Notamacropus eugenii: one gene and its partners. The protein of the gene in region 3 binds, or shares a complex with, the protein of the main gene of each other region. Links are inferred from orthologs where the notes say so. Each region holds a gene or a part of one and is shown on either strand. Other genes may lie near its edges. The genes, in order: PIGP, PIGC, PIGH and PIGA.

Evidence for each region.
Region 1: PIGH (region 3) and PIGP share a complex: the UniProt entries of both Homo sapiens proteins name them as parts of the glycosylphosphatidylinositol-N-acetylglucosaminyltransferase (GPI-GnT) complex. The link is inferred for Notamacropus eugenii from reciprocal best matches to the Homo sapiens genes PIGH and PIGP.
Region 2: PIGH (region 3) and PIGC share a complex: the UniProt entries of both Homo sapiens proteins name them as parts of the glycosylphosphatidylinositol-N-acetylglucosaminyltransferase (GPI-GnT) complex. The link is inferred for Notamacropus eugenii from reciprocal best matches to the Homo sapiens genes PIGH and PIGC.
Region 4: PIGH (region 3) and PIGA share a complex: the UniProt entries of both Homo sapiens proteins name them as parts of the glycosylphosphatidylinositol-N-acetylglucosaminyltransferase (GPI-GnT) complex. The link is inferred for Notamacropus eugenii from reciprocal best matches to the Homo sapiens genes PIGH and PIGA.

What each region holds. Positions count from the first base shown.
Region 1 is NC_092876.1:420,370,337-420,377,661, forward strand, and holds the start of PIGP (phosphatidylinositol N-acetylglucosaminyltransferase subunit P), read right to left. Parts: upstream 3,036-7,325; 5' UTR 2,947-3,035; intron 2,901-2,946; exon of another isoform or gene 2,733-2,900; intron 2,585-2,732; exon of another isoform or gene 2,374-2,584; 5' UTR 2,352-2,373; coding exon 2,270-2,351; intron 1-2,269. Other genes in the region: E3 ubiquitin-protein ligase TTC3, read left to right, coding at 4,520-4,594. UniProt on the Homo sapiens protein: Part of the glycosylphosphatidylinositol-N-acetylglucosaminyltransferase (GPI-GnT) complex that catalyzes the transfer of N-acetylglucosamine from UDP-N-acetylglucosamine to phosphatidylinositol and participates in the first step of GPI biosynthesis.
Region 2 is NC_092873.1:473,945,522-473,952,932, forward strand, and holds the start of PIGC (phosphatidylinositol N-acetylglucosaminyltransferase subunit C), read left to right. Parts: upstream 1-4,384; 5' UTR 4,385-4,565; intron 4,566-4,656; coding exon of another isoform or gene 4,657-4,719; exon of another isoform or gene 4,720-5,076; intron 5,077-5,566; 5' UTR 5,567-5,637; intron 5,638-7,411. Other genes in the region: C2H1orf105 (uncharacterized protein C1orf105 homolog), read right to left, coding at 2,252-2,318. UniProt on the Homo sapiens protein: Part of the glycosylphosphatidylinositol-N-acetylglucosaminyltransferase (GPI-GnT) complex that catalyzes the transfer of N-acetylglucosamine from UDP-N-acetylglucosamine to phosphatidylinositol and participates in the first step of GPI biosynthesis.
Region 3 is NC_092872.1:312,546,750-312,554,747, reverse strand, and holds the start of PIGH (phosphatidylinositol N-acetylglucosaminyltransferase subunit H), read right to left. Parts: upstream 3,027-7,998; 5' UTR 2,897-3,026; coding exon 2,717-2,896; intron 1-2,716. UniProt on the Homo sapiens protein: Part of the glycosylphosphatidylinositol-N-acetylglucosaminyltransferase (GPI-GnT) complex that catalyzes the transfer of N-acetylglucosamine from UDP-N-acetylglucosamine to phosphatidylinositol and participates in the first step of GPI biosynthesis.
Region 4 is NC_092876.1:374,805,769-374,813,548, reverse strand, and holds the start of PIGA (phosphatidylinositol N-acetylglucosaminyltransferase subunit A), read right to left. Parts: upstream 3,028-7,780; 5' UTR 2,600-3,027; exon of another isoform or gene 1,432-2,599; intron 1-1,431. UniProt on the Homo sapiens protein: Catalytic subunit of the glycosylphosphatidylinositol-N-acetylglucosaminyltransferase (GPI-GnT) complex that catalyzes the transfer of N-acetylglucosamine from UDP-N-acetylglucosamine to phosphatidylinositol and participates in the first step of GPI biosynthesis.

The DNA of each region.
Region 1 (7,325 bases), on a different chromosome or scaffold from region 3:
TCCCACTGTGGACAGCAACTAGTCAATGCTGTGCAACTGCTCAAATTGCAAACTTTCGATTGTAGACTAGAGATCTCCATAACCCCAGATTTCAAACACTGTCTATAAAGAGTTATGGTTCACTTTGCAGAACTGACATGTTTCTGAAAAGGTCTGCAATTTAGTTTTTGTAAATATTATCAGGTCCAGATGTGATTTCATCACTGTGTGGAACTCCCTGTTTAGAAATTAGCCATAATGCACTACCGCAAATCAGTAAATCAGCAGTAGTTGATCTCAGCAAGCTGCTGGGGTAATCTGAAGGCAGGTGACTTACCCGCTTCCTCAACTAATATGCATGAGAGGCAGGATCAATCCTCTAAGCAGTAATGCAAAATGTCTCATGGTAGGTTTTGTTTGTGTTCGTCCTTCGTTTTCAAAGAGCATGTCATCAGAGAAATGATGACATGACTTGTTTTGAGCGAGGGCTGCACAGAGCAACAATGACTATTGATCATCACTCTGAAGCCAGGAGGGTCCAGGAGAGAGAGAGAGACAGAGACAGAGACAGAGAGAGAGACAGAGAGAGAGAGAGAGAGAGAGAGAGACAGAGTCAGAGACAGAGAGAGAGACAGAGAGACAGAGACAGAGAGAGAGAGACACACACACACAGAGACAGAGACAGAGAGAGACACAGAGACAGAGACACAGAGAGAGGGAGAGAGAGGGAGAGAGAGACACAGAGTCAGAGACAGAGAGACAGAGAGAGAGAGACACACACACACAGAGACAGAGACACAGAGACAGAGATAGAGACAGAGAGAGAGAGACAGAGAGACAGAGACACAGAGACACAGTGAGACAGAGAGAGGGAGAGAGGGAGAGAGGGGAGAGAGGGAGGGAGAGAGGGAGAGAGAAAGAGAAAGGAAGGAAGAAAGGAAGGAAGGAAGGGAGGGAGGGAAGGAGGAAGAGAGGAAGGGAGGAAGGGAGGAAGGGAGGAGGAAGGAAGGAAGGGAGGGAGGGAGGAAGGAAGAGAGGAAGGAAGAGAGGAAGGGAGGAAGGGAGGAAGGGAGGGAGGGGAGGGGGGGAGGAAGGAGGGAGGGAGGAAGGAGGGAGGAGGAAGGAGGGAGGGAGGAAGGGACGGAGGAAGGGAGGGAGGGAGGGAGGGAGGAGGGAGAGAGGGAGGGAGGAGGGAGAGAGGGAGGGAGGAGGAGGGAGGGAGGGAGGAGGAGGAGGGAGGGAGGGAGGAGGGAGGGAGGGAGGGAGGAGGAGGGAGGAGGGAGGAGGAGGAGGGAGGGAGGGAGGAGGGAGGGAGGGAGGGAGGAGGAGGGAGGGAGGGAGGAAGGGAGGGGGGAGGGACGGGAGGAAGGGAGGGAGGGAGGGAGGGAGGAGGGAGAGAGGGAGGGAGGAGGGAGAGAGAGGGAGGGAGGAGGAGGGAGGGAGGGAGGAGGAGGAGGGAGGGAGGGAGGAGGGAGAGAGGGAGGAGGAGGAGGGAGGGAGGGAGGAGGAGGAGGGAGGGAGGAGGAGGAGGGAGGGAGGAGGAGGAGGGAGGGAGGAGGGAGGGAGGAGGAGGGAGGGAGGAGGAAGGGAGGGGGAGGGAGGGAGGGAGGGAGGAGGGAGGAAGGAGGAAGGAGGGAGGAAGGAGGGAGGGAGGAAGGGAGAAGGAGGGAGGGAGGGAGGGAGGAGGAGGGAGGGAGGGAGGGAGGGAGGAGGAGGGAGGGAGGGAGGAGGGAGGGAGGGAGGGAGGAGGAGGGAGGGAGGAGGAGGGAGGAGGAGGAGGGAGGGAGGGAGGAGGAGGGAGGGAGGGAGGAGGGAGGGAGGGAGGGAGGAGGAGGGAGGGAGGGAGGAGGGAGGGAGGGAGGGAGGAGGAGGGAGGGAGGGAGGAGGAGGGAGGGAGGGAGGAGGAGGGAGGGAGGGAGGAGGAGGAGGGAGGGAGGGAGGAAGGGGCCTGTTCACCCCACGTTGGCTGGGCATCCTCCGGCCATCCACGTTGGCCTTCCTGTGAGTGCCTCAGCTAGGTGCGGCGGGTATGCGCAGGGAAGGGGAATGCCCTAAATGAGACGTTCCCAAGCCCACTCCACACAAGGGGCCCGGAGGTCAGGGGCTGCGGCTCACGCAGGTAGCACCGCACGGCACAATCTCCACGTCCCTCTCCGTGCCCCACAGACCCTAAGGTGACACCAAGGTGCAGCAGGCTGGACCCTACCCCGGGGTGTCACCAGCTCGCGGTATCACCCCGAGGAGCCTCCCGGCCGGTCTGGACCCGGCGCTCCGTCGGAACCGTACTTACTGAACCCGCACTGGGAGCTCAGGAACAGGACGAAGCCGTAGATGGCCCTCTCCGGCAGCGGGGACGGGGAATTCTCCACCATAGCCTCCGGAGCGTTGGGGAACCTGAGGGCGGGAAGCACCAGACAGCGGGTCACTCGCCACTGACCCCGTGCAGAGCGTGGGTGCGCCCTCGGCCCTTCCCCTCCCCCGGACCGCCTCGGCTCGCCCCGCTCGTCCTCCCGTCGCAGACCACGTACGGCGGGGATCTCGGGCGAGGCTCCGCGGCTGGAGCCGGGCTCCCCCGGGGTTGCGCCTCTTTGGGGCACCTGCAGGGACACGGGGGCCCAGGGCACGTTTCATTTTCTCCCGGGGACCCTGCCTTTCCTTCCAGGGTTGGGGCTGGGGGGGTTCGGGGGCGCCGCCGCGGAGGGGGAGAGGCGAGATCACAGCAGGGGGCCCCTTTTCTCTGCACTGTGACGCACCAGTTTTCCTGCCTGCCGGCTTCGGAAGCTCTAGGCCAAACCTGTGTGCGCAGGTGCCACCCAGGAGGCCGGGGAGGAGAGGGAGGGGGGCTTTTCTGCTCCGGGCGCCGGGATTCTGGGGCGGGGCGGATTGCGGCAGAGGGGGCGGGGAGGAAGGGGGGAGAAGGAAGAGCGGGCGCTGGGGCGGGGCCAGGCGCGCCTGCGCGCTGCTCACGTGACGGCCGGCCTCCTTCCTCCGTCCGCGGCTCTCCCTCCCCGCTCTGGAGGTCAGTGACGTGGTCCTGACGGTTGCCTCCGGACTGAGACCTGCTTCTGGACGTGGACGCGGATTAAAGCTCGCTCGTGGCGTGTCCGGTGAGTGTGTGTCCGTGTGTCTGTGTGTCCGTGTGTCCGTGTAAGGATGCGTGTACATCTGCGCGTCTCTCGCCTCTGCCAGCCCGTGGCCTTCCCGCAGCCAGTGTTGTCTGACTTGCGTGTCTGCACACACCCTTCGTGCGTGGATAGGTGCCCTGCGTGTGTGTGTCCGGCATGTCTTTGTGTGTGGCACGCGCGTTCTTTCTACCTGCTCTTTCCGTCGTCGTGCCCGTCATCCGCGCCCCCCATCGGAGGCTGCCAGCGCCGTGTTCCCCAGCCACTTGTTATTGTGTGCCCCGGCCGGTCGTCTGCTGACAGGAAATAAGCCTGCGGCCAGCCCGGCTGCCATTTCCACCCCGGCCCCGCTCGCCTCCCTCCCTTCCCCGTCCACCTCCGCTCCCCCCAGGTGAATACTGAGAGACCCGGCAGGGCCTTTCCCGGCGCGTCCGGGCCCCTCTCGGGAGCCCCCCGGGGCCGGCCGCGGGATGGGAGGGCTGGGCTCCGCGGCTCCCGCTCCTGCAGCCCGGCTCCGGCCCGCCTGGGCCCCGGCCCTCGGGTCTGTGACTGCGTCCTGGGTGTCCGTCACCTGGGCTCCTCCCGGGCCCCTCCTGCCCCTCCAGAGAGCCGTTGCCACCACCGTGTCCTAGGAAGGAAAAGGGATTAAGGCGCCGAGCTGACCCCCTTCCACACCTGTGGACGTGCCCGGAGGAGTTGTTTGGTGGGCAGGACTGCCCCGGGTAGTTCCTGGTCCTGATCGAGCTCCTGTCGTGTTCTGCGTCAGAGCGAGCTTCTTTACGTTTTCGCTTTATCCTACAACCAAGTGGTTTTCCATTACATTTGTGTGGTTGACCTGTATGGATCCCTTCTTTCCGTCTTTGACTTTATCGGGGGGGGGGGGGGGGGGGGGGGGGGCGGGGGGCGGTGCCCGGTGTGAAGTGTCTGGATTCCAGGGTGTGAACTTTTTTTATCACTTTCTTCAGATACTTTCAATAGCTTTCTAGAATAGTACCCGTTCACAGCTCCACCAACAACGCATTTTGGTGTTTCTGCAGTCCCTCCAGCATGGACTGTCCTTTGTCATCTTTGCCAGTTTGATAAGAATTAGGATGAAGGTTATTTTGATCTGCATTTCTCTTAGTCTGGTGCTCTTTGGATCTTAACTGGAGTGTATATGGAAAATCTGGTTTCCTTTACAATTTCTCATATTTTCGTTTCACTGGAAGCCCAGAGCTGAGATTTGAGCATGGATCTTCTGCCTCCAGAGCCAGTGTTTTTTTTTCACTGAAACTCCCCTCCACCCACTTCAGGAACTGTAAAAATGAGTGGCTGTTTCTATTGTTGTTTTGATTGTGACAAAGATAAGATTCACTTTCATAATTTGTATTGTTTACTGATTTGGAGTTTGTTTTTATTGGCCTTTAGGATCATGCGCAATGGAGAATTCCATCTCTGAGGCAGATTTAATTGGCAGCAGTTATGTTCGCATTACTAAACTTTGCTGTGAACAGGTGAGTTTTTTTAAAAAATCAAATGCATTTTAAAGTTCATATTCAAAGCCAATGTGTAAGTCATTCAGAGTGATTTGTGATGCCATCTGTGCTTTTGAAGAGAAAGCTGAAAAAGGGAAGGAGCTGCCCAAAAAGAACAAGTGTGTGAGATGATGGAAACTAAAAAGGGAGGAGGATGATGGTGATAATAATAGGTAGGATTTATATAGTCCTTTACACTGAACCTATATTGTTTCGTTTGGTCCTCACAACAACCTTTGCAGGTAGGTGCTGTTATTATTGCCATTTTATAGTGCCATTTTATAGATAAGGAAATCAGGGCTGAGAAAAGTTTAACATGTCCAGGGTCACAAGGCTATTAAATGCCTATGGTGAGATTGGAATCCAAGTCTTCTTGGTTCTAATTTCTACATTTTGTCTACTTCACCTCATTATTGGTGAGGGTGTATGTTGAGGGTAGAAATTAAAAGTAGCTTTATGTAGAAGAGAAGTTTGGTTCATATGGCAAATCATTATAAGAAATCACATTTTTCCTTTTATCAGCCAGTTATTAAAATCATTGATCCTCTCTGATGAGAACAGATGAAATGATCAAAATAAGAAATTCCCAATAGGAGAAAAGAGTGAGAGGAAGAAAGGACAAGTGACATGTTCTACTTCCTAGCTTGTTTTTCCTGATCCTCCCCAGCTGTGGTGGGGCCCATCCCATATATACTTTGTTGCAATCTCCCTTGATAGAATTGTAAGTTATTTGATGGTATGGACTACTTCATTTTTATCTTTGTATTTTTTACCCTTGTATCTAAGCCCTGAGATAAATTACTGTGTGTTTGATTGGTACTTGACTTTTTTGATAGCTATATTCAAGCAATGATTCCAGCGATCTCTTATTGTGGACTTGCATTCTGTTGCTGCAGGATTTACAGAACTATTGCAGGAGCATAAGAACTTCCAGAGGTTCTTATTTAACACTTTTCAGTGTGGAATTTGGATCTCTGAAGGCTTACTTCACTACTTATAGGATCTATAATTTTTTTTCTCTTTGTGGTTGATACTTCATTCTCTGATTCATATTGCAGCTTTTTGATTTCTCTTGGACAATCTCTGAAAGGTGATTTTTTAGCTAAAAACCTGGTTTTAAGCTCTCCAAACTTAAGCTAAATGTCAGACTGCAGATGTCTTTTATTTGGTGGGAAGGTAGAGTCTGTGATGTGTTAGCCTTATATGTGTTAGCATGTGAAAGCCCTGCGCCACTTCTATAAGAGTTCAGTAGAGGAGCAGTGAATATAAAAGAGATCTTTGTTAAAAAAAAAATTAATAATGGATTCCAGCTAAGATGGATGCTTGACCTTGTCTAATAAAAGCCTAAAATTTACATCAGACCCCCAAATAATCAAATCCAATGAGAAACTAGAGTGATTTCTTTCATCCCAGAACTGCACAAAAATTCAGCCAGAAGCCCAAGGGCAATAGGAATAAAGGATACTAACAAAGCCAAAAAACTCATCCACAAGTTAGTAGCTTCCCAGAATAACCAGACCCGGGCCACAGTCACATGTAGTCCGCTTGACTCTTGGTCTGGAAGCAGGGAAAGCAGTGAGGTCACCCAAGAAAGTCCCCAGGTGGGCTCCAAGATTCATAACATTCTGTTCTGAGGAGCAGTAGAGGGCCTTGAAGATCCAGTGTCTGAACATCAAAGATCTGGGACAAAGAGGGACAGTCCCAGTCTTGGAAAATAGATATTTAACACTAACTCAGGAACAAGGATAAAACCAAGGAAGGTCAATGAGCCTACCCAAGAGTACAGCGGGGGGAGAACCCTGGTCCTAGCACAAAGCTAGAGTGATAACCCAAAGAAGCTAATGTAAAATTAATATTAAAAAAGTTCCTGTTCTAGAGATGCCCCCAAATCAGACTTAGAACCACAAATGACTTAGCTGGCATAACTCAGCATAATTCTATAGAGGAAAAAAATGAAGCTTCAGTGGACTAGATCAGAGTTGACAAACTTTTTCTATAAAGGACCAGATAGTAAATATTTTTGACTTTGTGGGCCAATAGCCAAATTGAGAGTATTCTGTAGATATTTATATAATGAGAAAACAAATTTACAAACAGTTTTAATGGATGAAATTCAAAATATAATAACATGTACAGTTAGTTTATTTTGTAATACAGATCAACTAGTGAGAAGAGTGAAATTCTTTTCTAGGGGAGATGATATTTCACATAATTGGAATTCAAAGCTATTACTCCCTGTCATCAGAATCAGTTGCAGATGTTTATTTGTTATTGCTGATCTGTAATGGTATTTTATGTATTTCATCTTTGAAAATGGCTTTTCACACAGATAGGTACTGCCAAATACTGATATCAGCCTATGAATATATACTGTTTAACATATTTGGCTCTTGGAAGACATTTATGTAATCCTGTTAGATTCTTGATAGTTGCCTTTTAGCAAGTCATTACGTTGCATATTAATCACTTCCAATTGAAGGTTGGTAAAAGTTCTTCATTTGCACATTTAAATGAACATATTGAAATTTCTTTTGTATTTGTATCAAGTTCCAATGATGGAACTGTAGTTTGAGCTCAGGAAATACATTCACTGCAAATTTGTATTAGAATGGAAATCTTGTCTCTTAATTTTAAACAGTGTGGAAAGTATATGAAGTAACTTAACATTACTTGTGATTTAAAAATATTGTTATTAAATTGACTTGATTAT
Region 2 (7,411 bases), on a different chromosome or scaffold from region 3:
AAATGTCTAATATGAATGTATATGTAGAGCCTATATCAGATTGCATGCCATTTGGTGTGGGATGAAGGAAGGTTATAATTCCTCTGTACTCTACACATTTGGGATATTGAGTTTTGTTTGGTACAATGTAGGCAGCTAAGGGCTACAGTGGAAAAAGAGACTGCATTTGGAGTCAGAAATACACTTGAATTCAAATCTGGCTTCAGACACTTGTACTAGTTTGTGTGACCCTGCGTGAGTCACTTGACCTCTATCAGTCTTAGTTTCCTCATATGCAATTTGTGATAATATAGCACCTACCTCATAGGATTCTTGTGAGGATCAAAAGAGATAATAAATGAAAAGTGCTTTGCAAACCTTAAAGCCCTTTATCAATGTAACGATTATTACGTTTTAAGAGGAGCATTGATAAGCTAGAGCATGTTCAGGCAATGATAAACTGGTAGGGTAAATGAGGGCCTTATAAAAGCATGTTAAATAAAGAATTGAAAGAACTGGGGTGCTTAAACTGTAAGAAGAGAAAGATTGGAAAAGAGGTGAGTGGGATAGGATAGTTATCCTCAGATATTTGAAGGGCTATCATGTGGAGTTATTAGATTGATTCTATGTGGGTCCAGAGGGAGGAATTAGAATTAGTGAATGGCAATTACAAAGAGGCAGATTTTCACTTGATAGAAAGGAAGGGCTTTCTAACAGTAAAAGCTACCTGACAATGGAATGTTTTGGCTTCCTACCTCAGTATGGAGTGAGTTCCCTGTCTCTGGAGGTGATCAATCAGAGGCTAGACAATCATTTACTAGTGCTATTTTAGAAGGGATTAATGAATCTCCCTGGGGGTTTATGATGTGAAGTTCTTTTTCAACTCTAGAATTCTATGTTTCCAGGATTCTGATACCAACGATAGTGTCACAACACCACAAAGTGCCATGACATGATTGGGAAAGAGTTCCTTAAGGGAAGAACAGTTTCCCAACACCTTAGTGGCTTCCAAATATTTCAAGGGACATTGTGAAATTCTATTTAAATCTTCCAATCAAAAAGATGTTTTTTTTTAATTCAACAAAGAAGTTTAAGTGCTTGGAAACTTGGAGGTGGAGTGGAAAGAAAGAGAGAGATAGAAAGAGAAGGAAGGAGAGGGAGAGAGAGAGAGGGAGAGCGAGAGGTAGAGGGAGAGGGAGAGGGAGAGGGAGAGGGAGAGATATTTTCATAAAATCAAACATGTCAAAATCTAATAAATTTGGAAATCATGGTTCAAGACTGTAATGAAAAGCTTGCAGTTAACTAACCAGGAAGAAGGAGGACATCCTGAAATATTTCAGGGACAGGAATTTGCTTCTGGAGACACAATGGTAAAGAGAGTGGTAAAGAGAGGGGAAGGCCGGTGGGTTTCAGCTTCCCCAATTTATCCTCTTACAGAGATCTGTCACCACTCCTACCATTTGTCTGAAAATACTGGCCAATCAGTTTGTATTCCCAGGTCAAAGAACCAGCCAGCCACATCTTAGCTTCACTCCCTCAGCATGTGCTTACAGAATCAGGTGCCAATGATTCTAGGTGAACCTGCAGATTTAGATACCTAGTGCTTTTAAGCTGGACAAAACAAACATTTCTAGCACAGAATAGCAAATGGGAATTTAGAACCCAGATCAAGAAATTCTGACCCAGTGACAAAATTCCAGATTCTCCATAACTCTCACTGGTCTATGGCAATGTTTCCCAAGCCAATTTGGCCACGAAGACATTTGAGTTTTGAAATACATCACAGAATCCATAAATGCTGGCCCAGGCTATGGTATAAATTGAGGAACAAGGTATGTCAAAGAATTTGGGGAGCAAAACAGAGGAATTTAAACCTATTCCCATGCTGAAAAATATAATAAACAATGAAATAAATAATTTTGATATATATATACACTTTCACATTTAACATTTAATATGAAAAAATTTTACCTTATAGCATTCATTTTATATATTTCAATTTGTAATGATATATTTTAAATATTTCATATTTAATATTTTAGAAATAAGGGTTCTCACTGAAACATTATTTATGACCTACAGAATATTAGAGTCCTCCCAGAAAATTTGGGAATCACTAATCTACTAGATATTTCTCTCCTCCAAGATGTTTTTGCCACTGTGCTAAATAACAGTTGAAAATGCTGGCTCGGTCATCTCCTGATTACTACAGCCTTGGAAGCTTCCTTAGGTGACCTTGAAACTTCAGTTCTTTAGTGGCTGAGTTTGTTACCTTTTTCGAAGAGTGATGAGCAAGGGTTTGTTTCCCACCAAGTAGGGAAAGGTATTTCTTGTGTCATACTTTATGATGGGGATTTTGAAAGGAACCTGGAGAGGAAGAAGGAAACCTAGTAAATTTTCACAACTCATTACATTAAATCATAATAGATCCCATTCCTGTCTTATTTTGAAGCTTACAAAGTGATTTCCTCCCAATAACTCTGTAAGGTAGTATTTTACAGATAAGAAACCGAGATTAGGAGAGATTAAGAGTATGTCCAGGGTTAACCTGCTTCCTAAAGAGGGGCCAGGAATGGATCTCAGGTCTTTCTGAATTCCAAGCCTATTGCTGCATGTCACTGGTCCTTCTCTTCCCATTAAACCAACAACCACTGGTACTCTATTGCCTCTAGAATCCAATCCAAACCCTCAGTTTGGTGCTCAAAGTCCTTCTAACCACTGACTCCCCACCACTTTTCTTACACCTAACTCCTTGCTGGTGTTTTTCAAGTCAGTGACACTGGCCTTCTGGCTGTTTCATGAGTAAGATACTCCACTTCTTGGTTCCTGGCATTTTCTCCGGCTGTCCTCCATGTTCCATGCCTGGAACACTCCCTCTCCTCTGCTCTCTCTCTTGGCTCCCCTGGCATCCTTAAAGTCCCAACTAAAAATCTCATCTTCTATAGGAAGACCCTCCCAATGCCTCTGAAGTCTAGTGCCTTCCCTTTGTTAATTATTTCTTTTGCATCCTGTATACACCTGTTTGTACATATTTGTACAAAAACACATTTTGTTGTCTTTCCCATTAGATTATGATCACTTCAAAGGCAGGGAGAGTCTTTTGCCTCTTTTCCTATGCGTAGGGCTTGGCACAGCGCCTGGCACATAGTAAGTACTGATTGACTGACCAACTAACTCGCCAGTTGTGTTAGACTAAAGTCCTAACCCTCGTCAAGATAACTTATTGTAGCCACCAAAAAAAGTGGGCTGGTTTGGGGGAGAAGACCTGGGTCTGAACCTTGGCTTTGCCATTTACTACAAGTAAATCATTTACCATCCCTGGCTTCAGCTTCCTTCCCAGTAAAATGAGAAAGTTAGACTAGATGACACCAAGGACTCTCTCTCAGCAGTTTCCAGCCCTCTGCCACCATGAAAAGAACTGCTACAAATGTTTTTATATAGACAAGAAATATAGATACATTGTTTCTCGAATCTGTTTGGGTGAGGTCAGAAAGCACGCAGTCTGGCAGCTGTGGGGCAGACGCGTTCACGTCCTCTGTTCTCCCAGTCTCTACAGCGTCTGTCCTCTCCTTTTCTAGGGTCAGCTCTGACAGTCTGAGGGTTTAATGCGCATTTTTGTATTAGTGACGGGGTGTTTGTTCATATGGCTGTTGACAGCTTCGATTTCTTCCCCCGAAAACTGCCTAGTTGTCTACACTGCGACCGTGAAGTGGGGGCACCGCATGCCGTAGAGATGGGCACGACCTTGGAGAGCTCCGCAAGCCTTGAACCCATCCATCCCCGCAGAACCCCTGCTGCCCACACACTCACAAGCGCTCTCTCTTTCCGTGGGAAACGCGCCTGTTTTATGGTCCCCACAGGAGGCAGTGTGCTACCGTGGCCCTGGGTTCGAGTCCTGTTTCCGTGACTTACTACTTAGTATGACGTTGGGCCAGGGGATCTTAAACCGGGGGGGGGGCCTTGATTTCCCCCCATTACTTAACAAGAGTATTTAAACGATTCTCTGGTTAAGGACCCCACAGGCTTCGGCCGACCGTCCGGGGGGTCCCAGGCAAACTCCTCCTCCTCCTCCCCTCCGATTCCGGGGTTCGAGCCTCGGTAAAAGCCCCAGGTGCACAGGAAGCCCTCGGCGGCCCCTCGCAGCGCCGCGGTCTGTCCTCATTGAAAGTGAGTGTCTACGCAGTGCGGGTGTAGACAGGGTGTAGACAGCGAATACGTGGTGTCCACACCGCCTAACTGTGTGGCAAAGATGTCTGGGCACTTTTCAGGTCACACTTAGCGACTCCACCAAAGCTTAAAGCTCCGCCGAGCCTCTCGGGGCAGGCCGGGGAGACGCGGGGTGCGGCACCCACGGAGCGTGCGCGCGATCTCCCCCGTCAGAACGCGAGGTCCTCGAGGGCACAGTTAGGCCTGCCCTTCCCTCGCTCCGCCACCAGGGGGCGAAGAGGGCGCATCCCTGAGGCCGCCGCGCCAAAGGAGGCCCCGGCCGCGGTTGCGCAGTCGGCGCGAGGGCCGTCCCAGGAAGGAGTTGGGAGGACGTGGCTTTGACCGTGACCGAGGGGAGGAGCCTCCGCCGGGCCCTACAGGTAGCGGGGTGGGGTCGGCGTCTCCGTGCCCCCCATCACTGCTGGCCCCGAGGGTGGGGGTTGGGCGGCAGGGGGGGCGAGGGTCGTCTACCTGGGGTGAGGACGTCAAATGATGGTTGGGGCCGGGGACCCCAGACTTCCGCCTCCAGGCCATTGGTCCTCTCTGCTTATTTTACGGTGTCGGGAAAACTGAGGCCCGGGGGAGCGAGTCCAGTCACCCCCAGAGTCCGCCCGCCTGACGTCTTAAAGGGCCCATGCTCTTTGGAGACTCCGCTCTAACCCTCCCTTCTGCGGAGACCTCCCTCCCTCCCACTTTTCCCCCCCTTCTCGTGACGTTCCATTGACCCCCGGTTCGATTCGTTTGGGATCTCCCGAGTTCGGGCGCTTGAGGCCCTTGGGAGCGCGGGATCGGGTGGGGGTGGGGCCCTGTCCCTTCAGTTCTCCCTCTTGGGTGTAGCCCTGGACTACTCTGCCCTGCGCCACACCGCCCCCTAGAGGCCCCCTCGTAGCGGCCCCCTGGCCCTGCTGTGCCCTGCGCCACACCGCCCCCTAGAGGCCCCCTCGTAGCGGCCCCCTGGCCCTGCTGTGCCCTGCGCCACACCGCCCCCTAGAGGCCCCCTCGTAGCGGCCCCCTGGCCCTGCTGTGCCCTGCGCCACACCGCCCCCTAGAGGCCCCCTCGTAGCGGCCCCCTGGCCCTGCTGTGCCCTGCGCCACACCGCCCCCTAGAGGCCCCCTCGTAGCGGCCCCCTGGCCCTGCTGTGCCCTGCGCCACACCGCCCCCTAGAGGCCCCCTCGTAGCGGCCCCCTGGCCCTGCTGTGCCCTGCGCCACACCGCCCCCTAGAGGCCCCCTCGTAGCGGCCCCCTGGCCCTGCTGTGCCCTGCGCCACACCGCCCCCTAGAGGCTCGGACCCCGCCGCCCAAGAACCCCCGGACACGAGCCCTTTGGGGCTTTCGGAGGGCGAGGCGCTGAGCGATTGATGCATCTGTCTCCTTTCACAGAGGAGGACACGAGGCTCTCCGAAGTTAGTGGCTGGTTTACAGTGTGTGAGAGCCGGGCGTGTAAGGAGCAGGTAGGTGGGAGGCTGTTCGGGAGAGACCTCAGACAGCTTGGTAGGCACATCTTTCATGAGAATAAGGTGTGGGCGCCTTGCCTTGGATTACTGCATTTTAGACATGCTCGATAAGTCATTCCAAGGCCGTTTGAAATTCATCTCAGGTTTTTAAAAGAGTCCTCTGCTTTCAGTAGGTTATGCTGAGCATCCTGTTAATGCTTGCTGGGGGCATTTGGCCCTAGAGTCGGAAAGACTCATCTTCCTAAGTTCAGATCTGGCCTCAGACACTAGCTGTGTGACCCTGGGCGAGTCATTTCCCCCTGTTTGCCTCAGTTTCCTCATCTGTAAAATGAGCTGGAGAAGGAAATGGCAAACCACTGAAATATCTTTGCCAAGAAAACCCAAATGGGGTCATGAAGAGTCAGACGCCTGAACACTTCCATTATGTTTAAGCTTATTTGTGTTGGCTCCTGCTCTTGTTACTACCCTAGGATTTGGGGATTGTAGATTTAGAACTGGAGGGTATCTTAGAAGTAGGGATATACTGGTTAGTGTTTAACAACTGACTTTCCAAAAAAAAAAGTATGCATGGCACACTTTTAAGCTTAATCTGCATTGTTAACCGTATCTCCATCACTTTCTAATGTCTAATCAGACTACAAAACAAATTAAGTTCTAACTTGTAGTATTTCTCCATTTCCAAGGTCGTGCTGAGAGTTTAACAACCAGCTCTCCTAGGCCAGAGTGAGCTGGCTCTAGCACATCCATGCTTTCTTTGAAGTCCTGCATTTGGCATTTTATATATGATGAAACTGATCCACATTCACATATATAATAAGAGACAGGTCTGGATTCAAACCCAGGCCCTCTGACTCTCAAGTCTAAGGTTTTGGTTTTTTGCCCTAGTTGCCTCCCTACTGAACTATTCAAGTTGGAGTAGTACATATTCCCGGGGTGAGAGCAGGTTTTAATGACATTTACCCTCCTAGGTTAGGGAGCAGAACCTACCAGAACTCTGAGCACCTCATTTGAGGTCAAGTGAGAAATTCATGGAGTCCTAGGTTCTTAGAGATGGAATGGACCTTGAAGGTCACTCATCCTCATGCCCATGTTATATAGAAGAAACTGAATGGTTAATAGATACTGAATAATAACCTGAATGGTTATATACCTAATTGTAGGCAGAGATAAGGCCAGAACCCAGATATCCTTATTTTTAGACCTACCTGACTGCCCTAATTAGAGTGATTCTATCATTGTAGTATGTGGCAGTGGACCTGAATGTGGAACACTGGGTGATGATGCCCCCTTCTCTGCCACACTCTGGGAGTTCTGAGCCCTTGCTACAACATGAAGAAGTTTGCCTCGGGGTCTCCAGTTTGCTGCCACTGATGATGTCAAAGATATTCCCCCGGCATATTCCCCCAGCATCTGAGCAATAAGCTATTTTAAGGTGTCATTCCTGTTTGGATATAGAGCCCCAGGAAAGTTTCAGATCCTTAGTTTCTCTATCTGTTAAATGGGACTAACAGTACCTTCACAGGAATATTGCAGATATGAAAGGGTCATAACTATTTTTAAAAAGAAAAGAAAGAATCTCTGACTCAGTTGACAGATGAATATTCTTTGGCCCTGTCCTGAGCAAAATGTCTTATCTTTATATGGCTTATAACCCTACTAGATTATAATATCTTACCAAAGTTTGGTTGCTTTCCTAGCACCTAACACATGGTAGGTGAGGAATTAATATTAGTTAAAAGGAAAAGGATCTAAGGAAAGCCGATAGTGATAA
Region 3 (7,998 bases):
GCATGGGGCTCTTTGAGAAGCAGGAACTGTCCTATCACATAGTGATTACAATGAATGAAGCTTAAGGCAGCACTGGTGAGTCGGAAAGAAAAGCACATTGGGTTTTAGAAGGGAAGGTAGAAGGGAAACAAAGATAATTTTGCCTGTTTCAAAATGTTGTTTAGAGCTGGTCCTGATCAGGAAAGAAAAGAAAAACTATTTATCTATATGGTCCCAGGACTTAGAATTCAGGCAAGTAGAATTACAATATAGGTTAAGTAGTTTTTGTAGTAAGTCTGAGAATCTTACCACCACATAACACATTATGTCAATTTCTTTTAAAAAGTCAATGGGCTTTAAACTTACTTTCTACTGAGCTTTTGGAACACAGTCTAAGAAAATGCCTAATTCTGCATCCACAGTGCTTAAGTTTTTTAAATAAGGCATGGCTAAAAGAGGTAACACAACCTTAGCTTGTATTAAAGTATAATATTCATATTACAGAAAGTAAGTCATGGGATTTAAAGGTATAAGGAGCTTTGGAGATTATCTAAACACATAGTTTTACAGATGAAGAAACTGAATGAAACCTCATGAGCCTAAGTAAATTGCCCAACATTACACAGGTAGTAATGGTATTCAGTCACATTTGGAGTATTATGTTTGATTTTCATGAACCAAATGGAGTTATTGAGTCATGCAAACAAGGTGACAAAGAAGACAGAATGCTAGACTTGGAATTAGGAAGACCTGGGGTCCAATCTTGCCTGTGGTTGGTTGTTAGTAGCTCTGTGACACTGGGCAAAAAGTCACTTAATTTCTCTCAGCCTCACTTTCCCCATCTGTAAAATGGATAACAGCACCTATCCTGCAAGGCTGTTGTGAGGGACAAATAAGATAATACATGTAAAATGCCTCACAAACCTTAAAGTACTACATGTTAGATATAGATATTAACAGATGAGGCCAAAGGGCTGGGTTTGAAATTAATACCTATCTGTGTGACACAGGAGAAGTCGTTAACCTCTCTATGAGCCTCAGCAAATAAATCAGTCCTAGGCAGCTGCCTAAGTCAGACACATAGTAGATAACTAAGACATGGAGAGTTGGGGGAGAAGAGGTGACCAGCATGGAGGCAGGTCAGAAAACTACACATCATAGAACAGGCTACTTTGGCCTCAGGAAGAATAAAAATGAGAAGCATTATAATAGCTGTCTCCAAACACTTAAAGGATGGTCCAGTAGAAAAGGGTATAAACTTATTCTATGTTGTACCAGAATCAATCAACAAGCATTTAGTAAGATCCACTATGCCAGATGTTGGGAATACAATGAAAAAAGCAAAACAATCCTTGTCCTCAAGGAGTCTGCCTAGATTTTATGAAGGAAAACAACACAGGATCACATAAGGAAATACAAAATGTAGATCAAACAAATATGAGCTAATTTGAAGGAAGGTGGCTGGAAATCAGGCAACGTCTGATGTAGGAAGTGGCACTTGATCTGAGTTTTCAAGGGAGGAAGGAACTCTGAGAGGAGGCCTTGAGAAAGTAATGTTCCAGGCACAGAGGACGGCTTGTGTAAAGCAACGGGGACTAGAGGTGCAGTATCTCATTTCAGAAACAGCAAGTAGCCCAGTTTGGCTAGATGGTAGTAAGTGGAGTAAATATGTAAATCTGGAAAGAGACTGGAACCAGATTGTGAAGGGCTGTAAATGTCAAATGGAAGTTTATATTTTGTTTTAAAGGCAATGGAAGGGACTGGGAAAGCTCCCCACTGCTGTCCAGTCCTCTTGTACAAAATTTGTTACTACTGCTTTGGACAGGTCTTCACTAAAGCCGAGCAGCCCAATCTATCCACGGCTTTGATAGGGCCAGAAATGCTAGATCAGTAACCAAGATTTTAAGCTTGATGTCCTAGAAGCAGCATATTCCGATGTGCTTCTGACATATGATAGCTCCTACTTCTCAATGACTTGTCAGAACATACAAGATAAAGCATCTGGACGATGGAGGCTTGTCAAAGACAAAATCACCTTTGCCTCCAACATGTGGTGAAGTGAATTCGCCTTCATCCAGAATGTTGCACACTGCTTTCATAGGGAGCTTGTCAAAACAAGGGAGAAGGAGATGCCAATAATTATTACCTGCTAATTATGCCCTGGGCAGTACAGGCTCAAGCAGGTGTAAGTCTTTTTATAATTATAAGCTGGTGACAGAATGGAATGTCAGCTAGCTTTGTAACACGGTCAATTAAAGAGGTAATAAAAAGGGTTTTTTTTTTTTTTTTAATGAAGGCAATGGAAAGCTTTCTGAGAGGGCTGTTAAATATACAGACCTGTGCTTCAGAAATACACTTGGGCAGTTCACAGGATAACAGATGTAAAGTTCCCAGTTACCTCCGTGACACACCTTATTTCAAGCTTAGAGTTTTCCTCCTTATTCCCAACGTCAGCGTTCCATCCCCTGCAAGGGGCGAGAAAGGCCCCCCCCATCCACCCTCCCCAGGCCCTTCCCTCTGGGATGAACTCCCATTTATGGCATATAGATACAGATGTCACGAGGGACACGGCCTAGATCATGACGGTAACAACTGACGTTTATATAGGGCTAAGCCTTCACAACTATTGCCTGCTCCTCATTTTACAGAGGAGGAAGCCGAGGCAAAGGGAAGCGGTCGGGAGCCCAGGCCCGGCAGGCCCGGCAGCCCCGGCCGGCGGGGAGGGCAGGGCCCGTACCTGGCAGAGAGTGAAGAGCCCGTAGGCTACCAGCCACACTGTGCAGGTGGCGGCGGTGAGCGAGCGCAGCGAGAGCCTCGGGCAGCCGAGGCAGAACTCCCGGCAGGAGGGGGAGTAGTAGCGGCGCTGGAGAGCCAGGCGGCCGCCGTCGATGTCCGAGAAGCTGCGCTGCTCCTCCATGGCCCGCAGCCCAGCGCTCTACAAGCCCGCGGCAGGGCCACGCCCATCGCCATTACGCACTTCCGGAAACAGGCCGCGGGGGGAGGAGGGGACGTTCGGTCCCGCCTCCTCCCTTGTCTCGCGATTCTTCGCAGTAATTTATGCCGGGAAGGTAGCTAAGGGTTTTTGCGGGTGTGACGTGCCCTCAGAGGCCTCCACTTCCGTTTCCTTGGGTTACCCGGGGGCAAAGCGAAGGCGGCCGCCTCTCGGCCTCGGTCTGCGGAAACCGCCAGACTTCAGAACTGCCCCACCGCCTACGAGGTATGTGAGGGTGCGGGCTTTGCGCAAGCTCCCGCCGCCCCAGCCTGAGGTGGAGGGGCCGCAGCCGGAGGCCGACGCGCGGAGCCCCGGAGAAGGGGGAGAGGAAGCCCGGACTCAGGAAGGAGCTTGGCCTGGGAATACCGCTGTCGACACTGGGGCTGACACGTTCTTAACGTGCTCCTCAGGAGGCGTCTTTTCAGTAGTAGATGCCCAGCCGTAGAAATGGTGAGTGGAGCTGCCATGCGCAGATTGGCAGAGCCACCGCTGATGGGGAGAATGGTCAAGTATATTGACCTTGGCCTGCCACCCGCAGCAGATGAGGCGCCCAACACAAACTGCCCTCGGATTTCTTGTTTTCCATCCAAAATCAGTGTAGACCTGAAGGCTGTATGCCTACCAAACAAATAACTTGGACGGAGGGCCTGTCTGGCAGAGCTGACAGTTTACAGATAGGCATCAAGGATCCAGTTAGATAACTGAGGCTGTATTTCACAATATGCAAATATTGGAAGTGCTTGTGGTATAGTGGAAACATCACTCCGGATTCTAGTCCTGGTTCTGCCACTTAAGTAGCTCCGTGACCTTGAACAAGTTGCTTTTTTTAGGGCCTCAGATTTCTCATCTGGAAATGAGAGGGTTGGTACAAATGGTGTTTCTAGTTCTAACATTGTAGGTATATGTTTGGTTTCTAATTAATATTCCTCCAGAATCTTATTTCCTGGTCATTTGTGTTTTACAAGAGTCATCTCTTTTGAGATGACGTGTCTATTTCTGTACCATGAATAAAAAACAAACAAACAAAACACCCCTTTGAGAAAACTGCTAACCAGTTTTTTTGGTTCATAATTGTGAATTTAAAATGCAGTTTTATTAGTGAAGGTACTTTTTTTTGAAAAGAGTGAATGTTTACTTCTCAAGCATAAATGATGCTGAAAAAAAATCTTTAAAACCTCTTCTCAGTTAAATCCTAGCATCTCAGGTTCTCTTATAAAATCTGGCTCCTTATTAAAATTCATCTACTTGCCACTTCCTTGGGCCCCAACTAGAGGATAGGAGGTAACAAGATCTAAACAGCGAACATTCTGAGATCTTTTAAAAACTTAAACTACACTATACTATAAAGCTTCCTGGAGGGTACAAGAGGGCAACTTATATAGAGCAGCAAGAGATCGGTATTTTTTCAGAAGATCTTTGTAGTAAACAGATTTCTTCAAGTGCAAAAGTCAATGTAACTGATAATCGAAGGACATATCCAACTCCTTACTCAGTTGAGTTTAACAGTAATCAACAACAAAAATTTATTGGGGCCTACTGTGTGCAACATTCTAAAGCAGGTGTTAAGGGTTAAAGATAAAAGTAGAGAAGTAGCATAGAAAAACACCCTCTTGCCTCTTGAGTTTTCTTCTTTCTTCAGACCTGGAAGCAGTGTGTCAATGAGGGTAATGATGTTTCTCCTGCTTGACCAGGCCTGATCATGTCCTGTTCATGGGGTGCCACCATTTCATACCTTAGCCACCAAGTCTTCAGCTAGACTGAAATCTCCATGATGACAGCGATTTTCCGCTGGAAACAGCATTGGCTCCCAAAGATTCCTTTACCTAATACTGCTGATAATCATCAAAGAAACCTGCAAACCAGTCTCCTTATGCCAGAAGGTCCCTTCATAGCCCTCCTCTGCTAAGAGAAAAATGGCTCAGGTACACCAGAGAACTAGATCATTTACGGAAAGACATAACAATTCAGGAGATAGCAAGTGTTTTCATAACTCATCTCTAAGAAAATTCCTACCTCTCCATGGAAGAGAAAAATGACTGATGTACCAGACAAGAAGACTAGTAGCGACCAAGTTCAGGTCCTGTTTAAAAATCCTTCCTCCCCACCAGTGCCCAGAAGTATATTAGTCTCATTATCCCCAAAGGGAGCTTTAGAGCCCCCTTTGTAGTCATACCCTGATGTAATGAACATATGCCTCAAGTATGTCAAAAAACTTACATGGCATTTTTATGCCATTTATGACAAAGCCAAATTTTAATAGTGCTACTGGAGCCAGCAGTCATTTTTATGGCCAAATATGTTTGAAAATCCTCATTTTTTGACATTTCTAGTTAAAAGACAGGAGTGGGAAAGGTTGTAGAGAATCCCACAAAAAGCCTAAAGATCCCAGAAATACCAATGATAAAACAAGAAACAGAATTTTTCCACCTAGACTAGAATGTCACAAAAAGATAGCCAAGAACTAATAAAAGCCAATAGAGGTAGTCAGGAAAGAAAGTGGGCTCAGGTAAATGTAGAAGTCTTCAGAAGTGTTAAGAAGAGCTCCACCAGGAAAGCCTTCACAAGCAACCAAAAAGGGACTTGAAACCTGCCACAATTCTCAACAGCGACTTACAAGCCAGCTCAAGAGCTCCAGACATTGTAAACCTAAAGCTATATCCTTACCCTGGCAGGGTAGAATAGTAGCAGAGGGACAGAATGTCCTTAAGCTACTGCCCAAGGACACAGGACCTAGTTGTATATTACTTAAAGCATTGGGGGCCATAGCAAAAAATGGGGCCAATTCAGGTCCTGAACGCTAATGCCAAAAGGACTGTGCATGAAGCCTGATGCCAACGTGATCTTCAATAACCCACTCAAGTCTGTCAGAGTCTGACAGGAGAGAACCAACTATTGATTGGGGATCACGGAAGGACAAAGTAGAACCTGACCAGACCAGAATCTACAATGGACTAAGTCAAGAATTGAGGCAAAAGATTGTGCTGTATACCAGACACATCATCTGCAGCAGTGGCAGCATTCAAAAGAGAGAATGGTACCTAACCTATTTAAGAGTGTCAGAAGGGATTGACCCAAGCACAAAAATCACAGTCCAAGGACTGAGGATAAAAAACAAAAACACATTGTAAGAAATACTGTGGGTTGAGAGAAACCCAAGAGGTAAACCCAAAAGAGTAACCCAACAATAACTACAAGCAAAGCCTCAGAAAAAATAATGAGATTCTACCACACCTTCATTAGATTGGCAAAAATGACAAATAACAATTGTTGGAGGGACAGGCACACTAATGCACTAAAGTTGTGAAGTGTTAAAACCATTTTGGAAGGCAGTTTGGAATTGGAGCTGTACCCCAAAATTTACACTTTAAACCACTAATAATATCATTACTAATCTTAAAATCCCTAAGCAGATCGAAGAAGATGTATCACATGTACAAATATATTATTGCTTATTAAGACTGTATTTTAAATTCACAATTATGAACCAAAAAAAACTGGTTAGCAGTTGTCTCAAAGGGGTGTTTTTTTGTTGTTGTTTTTTTTTTTTACTCAGGGTACAGAAATAAATGTCATCTCAAAAGAGATGACTCTTCTAAAACACAAATGACCAGGAAATAAGATTCTGGAGGAATATTAATTAGAAACCAAACATATACCTACAATGTTAGAACTAGAAACACCATTTGTACCAACCCTCTCATTTCCAGATGAGAAATCTGAGGCCCTAAAAAAAGCAACTTGTTCAAGGTCACACAGCTACTTAAGTGGCAGAACCGGGACTAGAATCCGGAGTGATGTTTTCACTATACCACAAGCACTTCCAATATTTGGCATATTGTGAAATACAGCCTCAGTTATCTAACTGGATCCTTGATGCCTATCTGTAAACTGTTAAGCAATGTTAATGCCTATCTCTAAACCGTTAAGATACTGGCTTAGTTTGCCATTTCCTTCTCCAGCTCATTTTATAGATGAGGATGTGAGACAAACTGAGCTAAGTGACTTGCTCAGGGTCACATAGCTAGTGAGTGTCTGAGGCCAGATTTGAACTTAAGGAAGATGAGTCTTCTGAACTTCAGACCAGGCACTCTATCCACTGTGCTACCTAGCTGCCCTAAAAAAAAAAAAAAATGCATTTTTTCATAATTGAAAATAACCGGGGGGAGGGGGACAGGAGATTGTAGTAACTTGGGGAATTGCTAACAAAATTATGGTGTATGAACATATTGCTTCTTTAGAAATGACAAAAGAGACTTATTTTCAAAAAAAAAAAGAATTATGTAAACATGCAGAGTGAATTGAACAGAACCAGATGAATAATTTTTATAATTATAACATTGTAAAGAAAAACAACTTTGAAAGATTTAAGACTGATAGACACTTAACTCTGATCAGTTAGGACTCTGTTAGGCTAATGATGAAGTATACTACCCACTCTTGGGAAGGAGGTGATGGACTTAGAAATGATGCATGGGACATTTTCAGGCATGGCCAAAGTGTGGATTTGTTTTGTGTGACTAGTTATAAAGGAACATTTTAGGTAGGGGCAGGAATGGAGCAATGTGGACAGAGTGATATTAAAATGAAGAAAGAAAAGAGCAATGAATCATTAAAAAAATAAGAGCAGAAAGATGTTCAGAAGAGGGCACAGACAAGTAGGGCAGTGTTAGAACTATGTAGAAGCCATATTTTTAAGTGAAATATTACAAAAAATAAGCTGTGTTTCATGGGGATTCATGTTTTTATACAGTTTTTTTCTATTCTCTATAGAGGCAAATGTTCATGTTTATTGATGTTTGTGACGTTCATAATAATAAAAGGGACAATTCTTTTAAAAAGAAAATTTCTGCTTCTTCCTCCATTCATCTCCAGAGGAAAATGATTTCTGACATAAAGAAAATACTGCTATAACGGGAACTGTTTTTTAAGTACTGGTTGGACTAGACATCTACCAAGTACCTTTCTGGCTCTGAAATTCTGATTCTGTCATAAGCAAAACTGCCTACTAGTGGAAAAACTCTCTTGTA
Region 4 (7,780 bases), on a different chromosome or scaffold from region 3:
GGTGATGTAGTGGATAAACTGCCTGACCTGGAGTCAGGAAAACTCATCTTCCTGAGTTGAAATCTAGCCTCAGATAGTTCTTAGTTGCGTGACCCTGGACAAGTCACCTAACTCTGTTTGCCTCAGTTCCGCATTTGTAAAATGAACTGGAGAAGGAAATGGCAAACTACTCCAATATCTTAGTTAATACCTTTGCCAAGACTTAAATAGGGTCACCAAAAGTTGGGTACAAGTGAACAATTCCAGGTCCATTAATATAAATAATAATTTTTAAATGTATTTTATCTATATTTTTCCTTATCTCTCTATACTTTTTAAAAAATATATTTTAAATTTATCATCTGTTTTAGCATTCATTCTTTCTAAATGTGGGGTTCTAAATCTTCACCCTCCCTCTCACTCTTATATGACATCAATGTGAAATCACACAAAACATATTTCCATATGAGCCATATTTCAAACAAGAAAAATAAAGGGAGAAAATTATACTTTAATTTGCACTCAGAGTTCATCAGTTCTCTCTCTGTAGGTGGATAACATTTTTTCATCAAGTCTTTTGGAATTATCTTGGATCACTGTTACCATTCTAGCCATGTCTTTCAGAGCTGACTACCATTACAGCGCTGGTCTTACAATACACTATGATATGCCAATTCTTCTCATTTCACTTTCCATCATTTCATACAGTTCTTGCCATGTTTTTCTGAAACTACCAACGTCCTCCACCTCATCATTTCCCACAGCACAACAGTACTCCAACACAATCATATGCTACAACTTGTTTAGTCATTCCCCAACTCATGAGAATCCCTTTGATTTCCAATGCTTTACCACAAACAGAACTGCTATAAATATTTCTGGACATGTAGTTACTTTCCATTTTTCTTTGATCTCTTTTGGATACAGAACTTCTAATGGTATTGTTGGGTCAAAGGATATGCAGTTTTATAACTCTGAACATAGTTCCAAATTGTTTTCCAGAATAGTCTGCTCAGCGCACTAGTTCACCAATAGTTCATTACGGTATCTATTTTCCCTCATCCCCTCCAGCATTTATTACTTCTAAAAGATGTGAGGTGGTACCTCTATATATTAAACTTTAAAAGACATCCATTCCTTTCTAGAAAGGCTTCCACTCAGGCACACTAACTTGCCTCTGCATGATTGTAATCTTGGTAGTGCATTAATTAAACAAAAAAGGAGTCTAAATTATGTGATGGTTAGAGGCCCAGGGCCCATGGATGCAGTATGGAAAGCCAACCATACACATAATCATTTCATTTAATCAATGCCTCATGCTCCTTTTTACTCCTAGGTTGATTTAGTTATTTTTTCTTCTTTTGTTCATTAAAAGGGCCAAGAGCCATCCCCTGACTACTTCTTAAACAAACCTATTCACTCAATGGGCATTACCTCCCTCTAAGTGAGTACCTGAAAAGGCCTGCCTAATTAGGTCAAGGTCTCCTAATTGCATCCTGGGCCATCTCCAGTCTTCCTGAGGAGTATCTGTTCACGGGATCCAAGACAGCCCAGGAGAGGAAGTGAGGCTGGTGACCTGCACAGCCCTCCCTCACTGAAAACAAAGTCGAGTGCAAGTCATGTCATCATTTCTCTGATGGCATGGTCTTCTTCAAAAACGAAGGATGAACACAATAACTTTCAACAATTCCAACTATATTTTCAAACCTTATTTCTAAATGTTCTGGCCCATTCATCTGACCATTCTTCTATATAACGTGGAAAGATTTAAAGTTTAGAAAGTTAGGGCCTGCTCGTCCTCCTGTAGTTCCCACTTTTCAAAGCTACACCAGTCCCTGTTTCAGATAACAGGGATATCACGTCTACGTAACACTCGAGGGTTTGCAAAGCACTTTCCACCCAGATTTCTAAGGCGGATGGTGAATCAGCACCGTGACGTTCTTAAGTTAGACGGCTTGCTCAGGGTACCCTAGGTCCTGAGCGTGTGAGGGAGGATTCCCTAACTCCAAACGTTCTGATACAAACGCCTCCCCACAGTCCTCCTCGCCCCATCCCCAGAAAATAAAAAAAAGAACACATCTGCGAGGAATTCTGAGCTATTTTGTAAGGAGCTCCACGCCGTCTAACAAATCTCAGCGCAGGACCATCGTGACCTTCAATCTTTAACTTCCTGAGCAGCAGACGACCCAGCAGAAGCGCTGGGCAGGCACGGGCAGGGGGGGCGCGGAGGCCCCGAGGAGAAGTTACTTCCACCGAGCACCGCCGTCGGGGGGACAGTGGGGGCAAGAAAAGTGTACAGGAACCGTGAGTCTTCTCAAAGGCTCAGGAATCTCTACCAGGGGGCCCTGACTCCACGCTTCCCTTTAAAAAGGCCCCAATGGAGCTCAGAAGGACTGCCACGAAGCCCCATGGGGGGCCCACCTCCTCCCGGGGCTCGGGACCCTCCCGACTCCCACTTCCGGGCCGCCCTGGGGTCCGGACTGGATTGGCCCCCGGAGCCGCCCTCTCTCCCACCTCCCAATGCCCGATTCGGGGGCAAAGGCGAAGCTCGGCCTGAAGCTGCCAAGCACCTCAAGGCAGAGGGGTAGGAGGGAGAGGAAGGCGGCCGACAGACACTTACTCCACGAATGCCACAGCAGAGAGACGTCCAGCCCTCCCACGGCCACCGCCATGGCTCCGCCCACCCCCCGGGAAGGCGGGCAGCCGAGGCTTCCGAGACTCCGCCCCGCTAAAAACCAATCGTCACGCGGCCTTTGGGTCACGCGACTCCCGGGACGCGGCAGCCGAACCCTTTCTCCACCCCCTCGGAGGGCACCACGTGTCCCGGGGAAGGGTAAAGGGCAGGGTGATGACGTCATGGCGTGCTTTCGCCACCGCGGCTGCTGCTTTCTTGTAACTACCACAGCTACAAGAGGCGAATTAATCCTTCTCAAACCAAGGCCGCGTTATCCGTGTCTTGGAAATCTCTTGAGTGTCCTGGAGACTGTCCCTGATTTCTCCTAACACTTTTTCTGGAACTCCTCCTGCCGAGAGCAAGACTACAATCCCAGAGTGCTATGCAAGTACGCTTTGTGTTTTCTGGGAACTGTAGTTCAGCACTCGCTTGGCTCTGCAGCTGCTAGTTTAGACCTGTAAAAAACTACCAGTCCCAGTGTGCCTCGCGCTCCAAGTTCCTCCCTTCAGGGCGTAACCCGGCGTTGGCTCTAAGGCAGCTTCCCTGGAGCGTTGCCTAGTTACAGTTTTTTGTTTCTTGTTCAGTCCTAAACGTCAGCCCAGTTTAGGGCGAGCTTGAGAAGTGTCGATCAATAGAGGCTTATGGTAGATTAATAAACCCAGAGTGCCTTCGAGATCACAAAATCGGTCCACATCCATTTCTTTTTTTTTTTTTCAGTATGCTTTTTTTATTATTATTATTTTTTATTTTTATTTATTTATTTATTTTTTTATTAAATTTATTTATTTAACTTTTAACATTCATTTTCACAAAATTTTGGGTTACAAATTTTCTCCCCTTTTATCCCCTCCCCCCCCAAACACCAAGCATTCTAATTGCCCCTATCACCAATCTGCTCTCTCCTCTATCCTCCCTCTCTGCCCTTGTCTCCGTCTTCTCTTTTGTCCTGTAGGGCCGGATAGCTTTCTATACCCCTTTACCTGTATTTCTTATTTCCTAGTGGTAAGAACATTACAGTTGATCCTAACACTTTGAGTTCCAACTTCTTTACCTCCCTCCCTCTCCACCCCTTCCCTTTGGAAGGCAAGCAATTCAATATAGGCCAAATCTGTGTAGTTTTGCAAATGACTTCCATAATGGTTGTGTTGTATAGGACTAACTATATTTCCCTCCATCCTATCCTGCCCCCCATTACTTCTATTCTCTTTTAATCCTGTCCCTCCCCATGAGTGTCGACCTCGAATTGCACTCTCCTCCCCATGCCCTCCCTTCTATCATCCCCCCCACCCTGCTTATCCCCTTATCTCCCACTTTCCTGTATTGTGAGATAGGTTTTCCTACCAAAATGAGTGTGCATTTTATTCTTTCCTTTAGTGGAGTGTGATGAGAGTAAACTTCATGTTTTTCTCTTACCTCCCCTCTTTATCCCTCCACTAATAGGTCTTTTGCTTGCCTCTTTTATGAGAGATAATTTGCCCCATTCAATTTCTCCCTTTCTCCTCCCAATATATTTCTCTCTCACTTCTTGATTTCATTTTTTTTTAAGATATGATCCCATCCTCTTCAAATCACTCTGTGCACTCTGTCTCTATGTATGTGTGCGTGTGTGCATGTGTGTGTATGTACTCCCACCCAGTACCCAGATACTGAAATGTTTCAAGAGTTACAAATATTGTCTTTCCATGTAGGAATGTAAACAGTTCAGCTTTAGTAAGTCCCTTATGACTTCTCTTTGCTGTTCACCTTTTCATGGTTCTCTTCATTCTTGTGTTTGAAGGTCAAATTTTCTTTTCAGCTCTGGTCTTTTCACCAAGAAAATTTGAAAATCCTCTATTTCATTGAAAGACCAATTTTTCCCCTGCAGTATTATACTCAGTTTTGCTGGGTAGGTCACATCCATTTCTAAATAAATTATGCAATAATGACGTCCCATTCATTCACCAAGACGACCCTTCAGTTCCTAGAGGACCATTCAGGGCTGGGAACTTAGAACCAGACTCTTCCTAAAAGAGTAGCAAGGTGAGGATGGACCCCTAGTAACACCAGACTGGAATATCTCTATCTGCATTTCGCGTTAGTGGTGATCTCCACAACGCCTTCATTAGAGCGAAGGCTGCATGGGGACTCAGGTGCCCCTGTCCCGTCTGTCTCCCCCTCCCCTCCCTTCTCCTCTCCAAAGGAAGGTACGTTTGGGTGGCCAGAGGATGCCCAGGGAACTTGGGCTAACTGGCTCGATCCTTCCCTTCCCTTCCCCCTCCCCTTAAACCTGCTCTGAAGCCCACAGATTGTAACACACGAGACCACTGCCCCAGCTCCACTTAAGGGCTGTTTTCTAGACCCTCCTGACTTAAGACTGGTATCAGTGGGAACTGTTGCTGTTTTCCTCCCAGCCTGAGGTAGTTATTTTTTCTTTGCCTTATTAAAGGGGCCATCCCCTGACTACAGGCCTGTTCACTGACTGGGTGTTACCTCACCCTTGACTGCATTCTCGGCCATCTCCAGCCGTCCTGATGAATATCTGGTCACTGGACCCAGATGGCTCAGGAGGAGAAAGTGAGGCTGGTGACCTTGCAGAGCCCTCCTTTACTCAAAAGGAAGTCAAGTGCAAGTCATGTCATCGTTTCTCCAATGGTATGGTCTTCTTGCACAACAAAGGATGAATGCAGAGTAATTGATGCCACCATGGGATGAGCTGGAATGAGAAACCAATCTTCAGCAACATCCTTGGAACAGCTCCTTTCAGGGTCTCTTTAGTTACCATAAAGGTTGCCTCAGTATACAAAACCACTTGGAATATTTATGGAGTAGTAATGGGTGACTGCTTTCCTACACCAAAAAGTCTGAAAGACAATTTTTCTCCCTAAATAATTTTTATTTTTTTTACATGAGAAATTTTACTTGGCAAACACCAAGTAAAAGCAGCATTTCTGTATACAAAGTAGGGCAGTAAAAGAGGATTGCGTTTAAATTTCTGTTATACACAGCTTGCTTTTGTTATTGCTGTTGATTATAGTCTTGTTTTCCCCCTAAGGACTGCATGCCAGAAGTTTTGGGTTATTATCTCATTATTGTTACTTTTTTTGATGTCATTATCAATTGTTTCTCTGATTTGTTCTTTGAGCCCCCCTTCCCTCAAGTTTTTGTTGATTATAATTTTTATTTCATCTTAGACAGTAAAGGTCTGATAATTCAGCTTTTCTGCATTTGTTTATGAAGCTTCTGTTAAGGGGTCCCCTGAACTTGGCTTTTTGAGTTGCCATTTTTTCGAGTCACTACATCTGGAGCGCAGGAAGACCTGAATGTGTCAAGGAGGAAACCCTACCCTCGTGACATAATTTGTTGTTTGCACCCAAACTGGATTCCCTGTGTGTCCTTGGGAAGCAAGACAGTATGTATCACCCTGGGAAAAATGCTTGTGCACCTGAGGTCCTTTGCAGAGATAAGCAGACCCTCCTGTCTTCATAGTCAAGCAGTTCCCAAGGGAAAAGAATTGGACTTTCACCATTTCCTTGGTCCTGCCCTTTTTACTGTACCTTTCCCCTCCCTTACCATGCCCCTTCCTGTTTTCTCTTCCCCTTTGTTGTACTCTCATAAATATGCAAAATTCTGCAAGGACTATGACCTCTTTGGGTTTCACATGCATGTTCATTTCTCCTGCAATAACCCTAGTTTTCACATAAGTCTTCTGATGTTGTGATTGCCTATTGACATTTCTGTGCCCTAATGTGGGCTGGCACAGTGGATAGAGTGCCCAACTTAGAGTCAGGAAGATTCAGCTTTCTAAGTTCAAAACTGGCCTCAGACATTTACTAGCTTTGTGGCCCTGTGCAAATCACATAACCCTATTTGCCTCAATTCTTCATCTATAAACCAAGAAGGAAATGGCAAATCATTCCATTATCTTTTCCAAGAAAACTCCAAATGGGATCATAAAGAGTCAGACATGATTGAAACAAGTGAAAAACAAGTGGTCTAATATATGCAATGTTTTTGTAAAGGTGCTAAGCTCGGTTGAGAAAGATGTAAATTTCTTTTTAATCCCATTAAGTAATTGTTAGACATCTATCATACTTTACTGTTATAAAATTCTATCAGGTTCTAACGTTTTTGGAAGTTATCTTTTTTTTTAGATCTTTTTTCTTTTTGGTTTAGGTCTGAAAGTGGGTCATTGAGATCTCCAACTATTATAATTTTACTGTCTTTTTCTCCCTATAATTTATTAACTTTCTATTTTCACTTTAGTCTCTGGTTCTAAAAATTCTGTGCAGTTCTTATTGATTACTTCTTGGTATCCAAGCTTTTTGGGGGGTGCAGGAGTGGGAATCAGCACAGTTATGGAAAGCCATGACTTTTAGGAAATTTGATGATTCTTAAATTATCTTTACTTGACCAGTTTTGAGATCAGCTGTTTTGATCTTATTACATTTCATACATTCTCTACTATCTTTTCAATTATTTATTTTGTTCCAGTACTTCTTAATTTCTCATAGTCATTAATTTCAACTTGGTTCATTTAAATTTCATGAAGTCTGTTACTTGGTGGGTGGGAAAAGTGTTCTGCAGGGCCTCCTCCACATATTTTTCCTTAAAAAATATTGGAATCATCTTTAAGGTTTAGTTTAGGGACAAAAGTCCTGGACTTGGTATAACTTCCTGGTGAGCTAAGTACAAAAATCAGCAGGAACTGGACCCCAAAGAGAGGCAAGAAAACTACATGCAACTGAGTCAGTGATCTATATTGGCTGCCCTGCTTTTAATATCCTCCTTCTGCTATAACTAATTAAACCTCCTTTTGTTAATTGTCAGAATTCTACAAAGCTTTCATTTTGTTCCAGTCTTCATCTCAAGTGTCCTAACCAGCATAAGTGAAGCCTGGCCTATTATGCTTGGGTTGGGTTTACCACTTACTGTTCTAAGTCACATATTCTCTTGATATGCCTTTCCTCCAAAGATCTTATTTCATTTATAATTTCATCTTTTAACTCTTCCTTCATTTCTTCTAGGAACCCTTGTAGACCTTGTGGATGAGCAGTTTTTTTCTCTAAGTCTCTACTTCTACTCGTGGAGTTTGTTTCTTCTTCTATATTAGACTTTTGGGTATTTCTGGGACAACAATACTTTTGTATT